Linked DNA regions of Bombyx mori. The protein of the gene in region 2 purifies or fractionates together with the protein of the main gene of each other region. This does not show direct contact. Links are inferred from orthologs where the notes say so. Each region holds a gene or a part of one and is shown on either strand. Other genes may lie near its edges.

Region 1 (4,552 bases), on a different chromosome or scaffold from region 2:
GACTATTTGGTTCATAGCAAACTCTGATAGAAAGTTTCTGGAACAAAACAATTGGGGGTGTTTCAAAATAGGCATAAATTAATGTAATAGTAGAATAATAAATTAATAAATTATAAATATAAATCGGATGGTGGAATATCTGGGGTATACAGTGGCAGAGTAAGACACCCCATTTGAGTGTTTCAAAGTAAGTTTAAATGGATTTGGCAAGGTGAGGCCTAATGATGTCATACAGGGGAATCACTATATCATGTCATATTATGTCCATATTTTGTGCAGCGCTATATCACATTAATTGAGTTTGGTGTCATTCCCTATGGGTCGTTTCAATTTGGTTTCAACTGCTCAAAATAAATACTCCTGACCTGGTCCCACCAAGTACACAGCACAATCGTCACAGTCTGAGTATACAGCCGAACTGTGCAGGCTAATGCTATGAATATAACTCTTCTTTTTGTAACATTTTGACTTTAACTAATAAGGAATCCAGGCTCCTTGCTTTTGAAATACTTTCAATAGATGTGATAACTTGTAAATGACTTTGTGAGCAACTGCTTATGCTGAGGCTAGCGGATTTTGCATCAGCCACTGATTCAATCAGATACAAATTTGAAGACAGCGACTTCGTTGAATTTAGCTTTCCTTTACTTTGACAGTCATCAATATCGAAACCACTGTCTATGAACTGACTGAACCAATCACAGCATATAGTTTCGCTTAAAGCAGCATTGCCATAAACTTTTTGTAGTTCTCGAAGAGCTTCATCCAGCGTATTTTTCAAATGAAAGAAGAAAAGAAACACTTCCCGCATATGATACTTATTTGTTATAAAATCAGACAGTTTCACACAACCAAAAGTATATGTAACAACATAATTTTCAATAAATTTAATGTTTCTTTTATTTACCATCTGTCTAAGCTTGGTTCACAATATATTTGATCTATCAAAATCGACCAGCACTTACTGCTGCAGCCATCTATTGAGAAACAGCGAGAACTTAGTTGCAAGCCTTATACATATATTATTACTACATACCTACATACTCTTTTTATGATTGCGAGCATAAATTCCACTGTAGAAATTGTATTGTAAACAAAATCATGTTACAGACAAACTTGCTTAGTTTATAATTTTCTTTTTAACAGAATTAAAATAAAATATTACTATTAAGCATGTGATGCAATGTTTCTAATAAATACCCACACCCACACATTATTAACTAAGAATGATAAAATAGATTATTCAAAATTAAATTAATAGATCCAGCGATATGAAGGTCGTATACTGTTATTCAAAGTTGAACTAAATGTCAAGTCAACTTCTACATATTTTGTATTAATAAAAATTAATATACACATGGTTTATGATTATGCCAATGATACAGCTTGGAGCTCATACTCCCTGTTATCACCATTCATCCTACAACTACCTAGACATTAACATTATCTGATTTAAAATGTAGCAGTTTCAAATATTATCTTTCAAAATGGGTAAAAATATCTATACATTGTGATTACTATTAATGGTATTATGAACATTTTGATTCAACTAATGATTTCACTGTGTTAAGTTATTTTATGATCCACATTGAGAAATTTCGCTTAGGCAAGTATTACTGTTGTTTTGGTGATAACAGTAAAATAAAATATTTGTCTTACTTTTACTTTATTGAATATAATAGTACGACTGAATATATGTATAGCTAAACAGTAACCTGGTAATATGTTAAGCCTTTAAATATAACTTTAAATATACCTTATAAAGGTTTTAATATAAAAAAATTGAGGAGAATAAATCATGAGAAAATGAAGATGAGTAATGTTGTTTATTCCATGTATTGGGATACACTGGTTCATAGTTTAATATTATGAGAAGTTAAAACTATTTTTAATCATTGTAAAGATACCATTATCCTCCTAAGCTGCATTCTAATATCCAGTCACTCTTAATTCATTATTGCATTAAGAAATCTTTTTAATTGACAACTGAAATAAGCTCCTTGGGTAGAATACAGTCAATTCTACAACTGTTAAGTTGAAATCAACAATTGATTTAAATAATTTACCATTTTTTATTTTAAATCTAGCAGTCCTTGACCTGAATGTTATTACTGACTTTTTCCAAATCTTCAACTAATTCACGAATTGTTATTAGAAGCCCAACAAAAATACAGTTATTTAGGAGGAAAAAAATATATTTAAAAATGTTAATAGTTAAAAACAAAAGCGATCGACACCCATACTAATTAGCTTTAAGTGCATTACACAAACTGCATTCCGACTCGGCGATAATCAGGGTCTCATACGTCGCATAGCAAATGAAATGCCAAGCACACTACAAAATAGGAACACATTCAAAGGGCATTGACCTTTAAAAGGGTCGAATTAAAAGAAAACTGCTTTTAAAGAACATTTCGAGCACAAAACAAAGAACTATTTCCTGAGATAGTATTGTAGCCGAGCGACCGATAACAGCCAACAGGGTGTGTTTGTCGTCCGCAAGACAAGTGCCTCCGAGTTCCTGTTACCTTTCAGTCCCGTGGTACTATTTGAGTATAAGTATTCAATGGCTACGGAGAATGAAATTAAAGCGATAGGTATAGTGTTAAAAAAAACGATAACTTTCTAGAAATATTTGAAGTATTTTTGCTTTTTTTTACATAATCACGTCACAATAATTTTGACGTCCATTTTGTGTTGTGCTCGACAACAACCACTAATATGGTGTTTTTACCTTATTTGTAATCAATTTCATTTCATTACACACTTACCTAATTACGAAGATAATAAATATTTCAAATGAATACAATAACACCACGTTGTAAATAGGAAATGTTGAATGTTACAGTCTCCAAGTAGCGGGTTGGGTCATTGACGGTGTGACGCCATTGATTGAATAGAGCAGTAAATGCCTAGAAATTTGTCTATGGTCCGAATGTCAACAGTCAGAGAATCGATTTTATCGTACCTTTAGTAAAAAAATATTAACAAAATGGAAATAAAATATTTATTTTAAACGAATTGCTGAGTTAATTTCAATATTTGTTTTAAATCTAAAACATATGCTTCTTTAAAACTATTATAATCATATACTACACATAAATGGAAGGCGTACATAATTATTTAAGTAGGTACGTGTTCCATGATCCGAGGCCGTTGATATGATTCAATAAGAATCAGAGTGTACTTAATTAACACTGATATAAGTAAAGTTTTGGAGGGTCAATCATTTGAGCTCTACAAAGTATAGGACAACGAAAATTCTCACCTGTAGTTATCAGAAAGTAGCTATCCTTTAAATACTTACTGAAATAAATGCTTTAGTAATTTGATGTAATCATTGCGTAATTTAAGTAATATCAAATATTTATCTATACTTTAAATTAAATAGACGGGTTAAGTGATGATGACGCTGTGGAAGGAAATTTACGGGAGCTCCAAGTGTCGGACTGGCAAGATGTTGCGCAGCGCCGGGATGAATGGCAAAGTTTATTGTCGGAGGCCGAGACCCACTTCGGGGTCATAGCGCCAGCTCAGTAGTAGTAGTAGTTAAGTGATTAACGAAGCCTCCTTGCCCTAAACACGTAATTACGGATCCTCCCGATACAAACGGTTCTTTTAGGTACCTTAAGCACCAGTCACCGTTCCCACTGAACCCATCGCTTGCAACGCCGTGCTCGGCGAGTAAATTAACCCACAGACACAGACCACTAAGCTCGTCGCTGGATCTTCTCAATGGGTCGTGTTTCCAATTCGGTGGTAGACTCTGCGAAGCACTGCTCTTGCTAGGGACAGTGCTAGCAACTTCCTTATTAGAGCCCCAAGAGCTCACCTACACGCAAGGGTAACGCTAATATAGCTTCTCAAGGCTATAAGTATTGGTACGAAAAAAGTAGCCTACAGACCAACATAAAAATCGGATGTGCAAAAACGAAACTAATTTATTGATATTCACTGTGAAGTTTGATAATGATTGTTGGAGCAAATAAATCCATAACAAAAAATAACATTGAATATTTGTAACAATTAGGTAAATCGTACAATCTATGTCACATACTCATTTAATCATATACCAATTTTCGTTGTGAAATAGTAGTTGGCAATTAGTATTATGCAATAAAATGCTGTTACATCGTTCATAGAATAAATTGCGCACTATAAAATCGACTAAAAAAAATTTGACGTACTTTCTTAATGTCAAGAATCATTTTTGTCACCTCTTTTGAAAATCTGGCAGGCAATAAAAATAAAAGAAGAATACTTGTACTCCATTTAAAAAACAAGCATAGATGTATATTTAGTGTATTGTATTTGAATTGAGCGTTTAACTGACGTATAATTTGATTTATAATATTGAGTGATTTGCCTTAAAAAAAAAACACAAAACACACTAAGAAAAATATTTTTAAAATAAATTTTTTAACATGCTTTTACTTGGAAAAACTTTTCCAGACTTCTCTGCCAACACAACAGAAGGCGAAATAAATTTTCACGAGTGGCTAGGAGATAAGTATGTTATTTTTAAAAAAGTGAATGAATTTATAAATATAAA
Region 2 (4,309 bases):
AATAATATGGTTATAGGCATATCATGAGATATGAGTACACCAGATGTTGCTTTAGGCCAAGACAACTTCATTATTATTATTATATGTACTATAAATACAATATTACATTATTTACTTTCAACATAGTTTTAAGCTTACCTCAGCTTCGAAAGTGTGTAAATAAGGCCTTGGGTTCTTATATTCTATCTGCATATAAACTTCGTGCTCCCATATCATTGCTTTTCGGTACAAACAGTAAATCCTGAAGAAGTATGAGCGCTTGCCATTGTCCTTTATAAGGCACAGTACACCAGTATCTCTCTTCTTCCATTCAGAATGTGCTGGACCTTCAGTTGTGAAGAGTTGAACAACTGTAGTTGCTAGACTCTGAAAACATTTTAAATTTTTAAATTATGTGTTGCTTGTGATGACTATGAAAGAGAGGGTCTTTCATCAGGCAAGTTTATTTTCCAGACAGCGGCCCGCAACATATGTCTAAATCAGAAAATAGTTTTGAATATAAATACTATTTTTTGGATACTACAATTCTTTGTCAAAATATAGGTATATTTTTTGGGCAATTCTCGGAAAGTATGTAGGCTTACTGGTGGTAGGACCTCTTGTGAGTCCGCGCGGGTGGGTGCCACCGCCCTGCCTATTTCTGCCGTGAAGCAGTAATGCGTTTCGGTTTGAAGGGTGGGGCAGCCACTGTAACTATACTGAGACCTTAGAACTTATATCTCAAGGTGGGTGGCGCATTTACGTTGTGGATGTCTATGGGCTCCAGTAACCACTTAACACCAGGTGGGCTGTGAGCTCGTCTACCCATCTAAGCAATAAATAAAAAATTGATGATGTGATTCAAATTTTCATTACAAATGCAAATCCTAAATCTGCCTAAAGCTCCCAAAGGGTATCTGATTTCACCAAATGACAGATTATTGTCACTATAGTATCTAGGCATATATGTAAATGGGTATTCTAAGATATTTTTAAGAATAAAAATCTTTATTTCAGTCGCAGATAAAATCCAATGCCGCTGAGGCTTCAATTTTGTTTTTAAAGGTAACAGAAACAAGATTATGGTATATATGTTGCTCCAAGAACTATGTATCGTACCACATTTAGATAATAATAGATAATAGATTTTATATTGAATAACACAATTTTTAGATAATATAATGATTAGAAAAATCTAAAAAGATAATATATAGATAATATATAGACTTTAGATAATATATTGAATAACACAATTCTTTTCTGAATCATTGAGTCAGTGAGTCATAATTATATTGAATCACATAAAAATATGCAAATCAGATACTAGTAATGAGGTGGGAAATATATTTTTATTGATAGTGGCTAACAACAGAGCTGACCCCGTATATTATTGATACAAGTAGTATATGAAGACCCATAGAACAGATGATAATATGGAGGGGTCCAAATGATTTGTGAATTTTTTATGTTTAATGATTTTTCATATATTTCAATAATTTGAAATCGTAGTGGTTTTCTTGTACAATATGGTACAAGATTATTATATTCATGGTTGTACTTGACCATTGTTTAATAAGAGATAAGTTGCGCTTTGAAATTTGTTGACTGATGATTTAATACTTGAAATTGTATAGATAATATTTATACAGACACTCCCAACAAACAATCTTTTTTATATTGGATTTATTAAATTTCTAAACTATAATCCACTACAGTAACATGTGTATGTATATTATGAATATATTGTATAATAGACAAGACATGCAAAACCAGTTGTCGTAATAAATACTTTACTGAGATCTGATATAGTAACAGACTTTCACTGTATGTCTTTATGGGGTGAAATTTCTATCATATGCAGGCTTTGAACACTTTCACGACATGACTGGTCGAAATGCAATTACACTTTTTCTGACTTGTTAAGATGTACTTTTAACTCTTTTTTGATTAGTGTTTTTTTTTTATAATTTAAACTGGGCAGCTAAGAGCACACATGATGTGGAATTATCAGTTTATAGAACTCTCAATATCAACCATAATTGTTTTGCCCCAAATTTTTCACATTAGAAATAGACAGGGACAGTTTCCACTGTTCAGAGGTTCACAAATAGTAAATATACTTTTTATATTATTTGAATTTCGTTTAGATTCTATTACTTTTATTTATTTCAGTGTCTTTCATGATTGTGTGAGAATAGTTTAATTTCAAAAAATTCCCTATCTGTGGGTTTTGAAACCCAATATGTGAGTTAATAATCATTTAGAATTTACGTTAGTTGAATATATAGTTTGTTGTACACAGAAAATATAAAAAAAATATAAAAATTCATTGTTGAAATTTGTATTGACAGTAATTTAATTCCTAAACATTGCTTGGGCCTGAAATGTCAAGCATTGTAGTCGGTCGGTTAAGTTCCGAGGGTTTATCAAAAGCCTTTTATACTATTAAAAAATTAAAAAGATTTGTAATTTTCATTAGATTTAAAACAAGACATTTAACGTTACAAGGAACAAGATAATATCTTAATCAATCATCCAGGCGATAGAATAGGACGCAAACAACTCTATCGTTTAGATAGCATAAGATAATACATTGATAGGGCTATAGATACGTAATCAAGGTGGACTGATTCAACGCGAGCTACTTTCATGAAGGATCTAAAAAGGATGATTAACTCACCTGACATTTTGGTCCTATTAGGCTGAACACCTGTTCGTTCTCCTCGCGTGACAGGAGATTTGTCGTTCTGTGCTCTCCCCTCGGCATCTTGCTTGCCTAACGTAGATATCACACATAAAATCACTATAAACACATGAAAACTGATGTGTCAGCTACAAAAACTCTTCTGCATTTTAATGTTGTTTTGTTCGTTTTATCTAGCCGCTGTTTTTACTGGGCCCATGTAAACATTTCTCATAAAATGGAAACATTCATCTCGAAAACTAAAAGTTCTTAGGAAACCGTTCTGATTTTGCAAATCTTCACTTTCTCCCTCTGTGAGCGTATTAACTTACTGTGCTGTTTGATCTGATTCAATGTGTATAGTGTATAGCATAGATTATACACTTAAGTGTATAGTCTATGGATTTTATTGTGCTCTCGAATATATTAAGTGTATAATCTATGGTGCTCACAGACTATATGCTACGTGTCGAGTTGCCAAGCATTCGCAAATTTGTTTTTATTTACCTACTATGTACACGAACAAAAAATTCCTTAGTGACATCTGTCTCTACACCCCTGATTTTACTTATTTCTTTCCTCCATAACTCAGGGTTAAAAACCGGTTCGTGCATATAAAATTTATTAGCCGATATCTGCGGCATCGGTGACTTGGTCAAGGAAATGTCAATATTTTTTTCTAGTGACACCTAATATTTAATAACGGTGCTAATGCACCAATGGTAACAATGCTAATAACCGCTTAGCATCTGTGAAAGTACCTAATTATAGAAAATTAAGAAAGTACTGTGGCTATTCAAAGTTTTCTAAGAAGTTCACTGAAGTATTAATAACTTCCGAGCATTTTTCTGGAACTTATTCCTTTGAACACGTCTCGTTTCAATCCATTTCATCACAGTAGATTAGGAGGTAAATCAATTTCATTTTTATGTACTACCTATTATTACAATGTGTCAATACACCAGTGAAACTTATGTGGGGTAAAATATGGGAATTTTTAGCGATAAATCACTATCCCAATTTTCTCTTGGCACCTCTATACTAGAATGACAGCCATTTTGTTTTTTTTTTACTTCGCAGTATGGAGGGTAGAGGCACCTCTACTTCGCAACTCAGGCGCCTACAATGATTTAATCATTGCAACATCTACATAATTTATTACTATATAGGTCTATGAATTTATGTGTACTATCTATGATCGATATAGACATATTAGGAATATGGAGGGTAGAGGTAAGGAGAACCGTCTCTGTGTGTGAAAAAGTGTCCGTTAAAACTGACTAAATAAGGGTGGCGCTACAGTAGCAACCGGGTAAATTTTAAAAAAGGCCCTGAAAGTTATTAGAATAAGATAGAGAAATAAAAAAGGACGAAAGACCTGTAAGCACTACAAAATCACAAAAAGTATATTATTTAAAGCTGATAAGAAAATGCAATCGATGTCTCCACCTTTTACCACAGCAATAATTTTAGGTTATATTGACGAAATTAGTTTGGACTACGTAAACTTGTGTATTACACTGTCACTAACTACAAATATATTAAATTTCCTAACTCAGCATACTTCAATCAGTTAAAAACTGCTCAATTCATATCATACCCTGTGCCTATGCTAGCGCCATTCTGGAGGATTTTTGAACTGTTAGT

The links.
Region 1: the proteins of actin nucleation-promoting factor WASL (region 2) and cdc42 homolog purify together in Drosophila melanogaster (affinity purification with western blotting; 3 studies listed by BioGRID). This does not show direct contact. The link is inferred for Bombyx mori from reciprocal best matches to the Drosophila melanogaster genes WASp and Cdc42.

Annotation. Positions count from the first base shown.
Region 1 is NC_085107.1:13,964,334-13,968,885, forward strand, and holds the start of cdc42 homolog, read right to left. Parts: upstream 2,921-4,552; 5' UTR 2,772-2,920; intron 2,567-2,771; exon of another isoform or gene 2,370-2,566; intron 978-2,369; exon of another isoform or gene 908-977; intron 812-907; coding exon of another isoform or gene 434-811; intron 38-433; 5' UTR 1-37. Other genes in the region: uncharacterized protein LOC134199721, read right to left, coding at 434-811. UniProt on the Drosophila melanogaster protein: Regulates mbt kinase activity and is also required to recruit mbt to adherens junctions. Together with mbt and Frl, regulates photoreceptor cell morphogenesis. Together with Frl, has a role in the neuronal development of mushroom bodies.
Region 2 is NC_085121.1:15,495,001-15,499,309, reverse strand, and holds the start of actin nucleation-promoting factor WASL, read right to left. Parts: upstream 3,066-4,309; 5' UTR 2,747-3,065; coding exon 2,660-2,746; intron 367-2,659; coding exon 139-366; intron 1-138.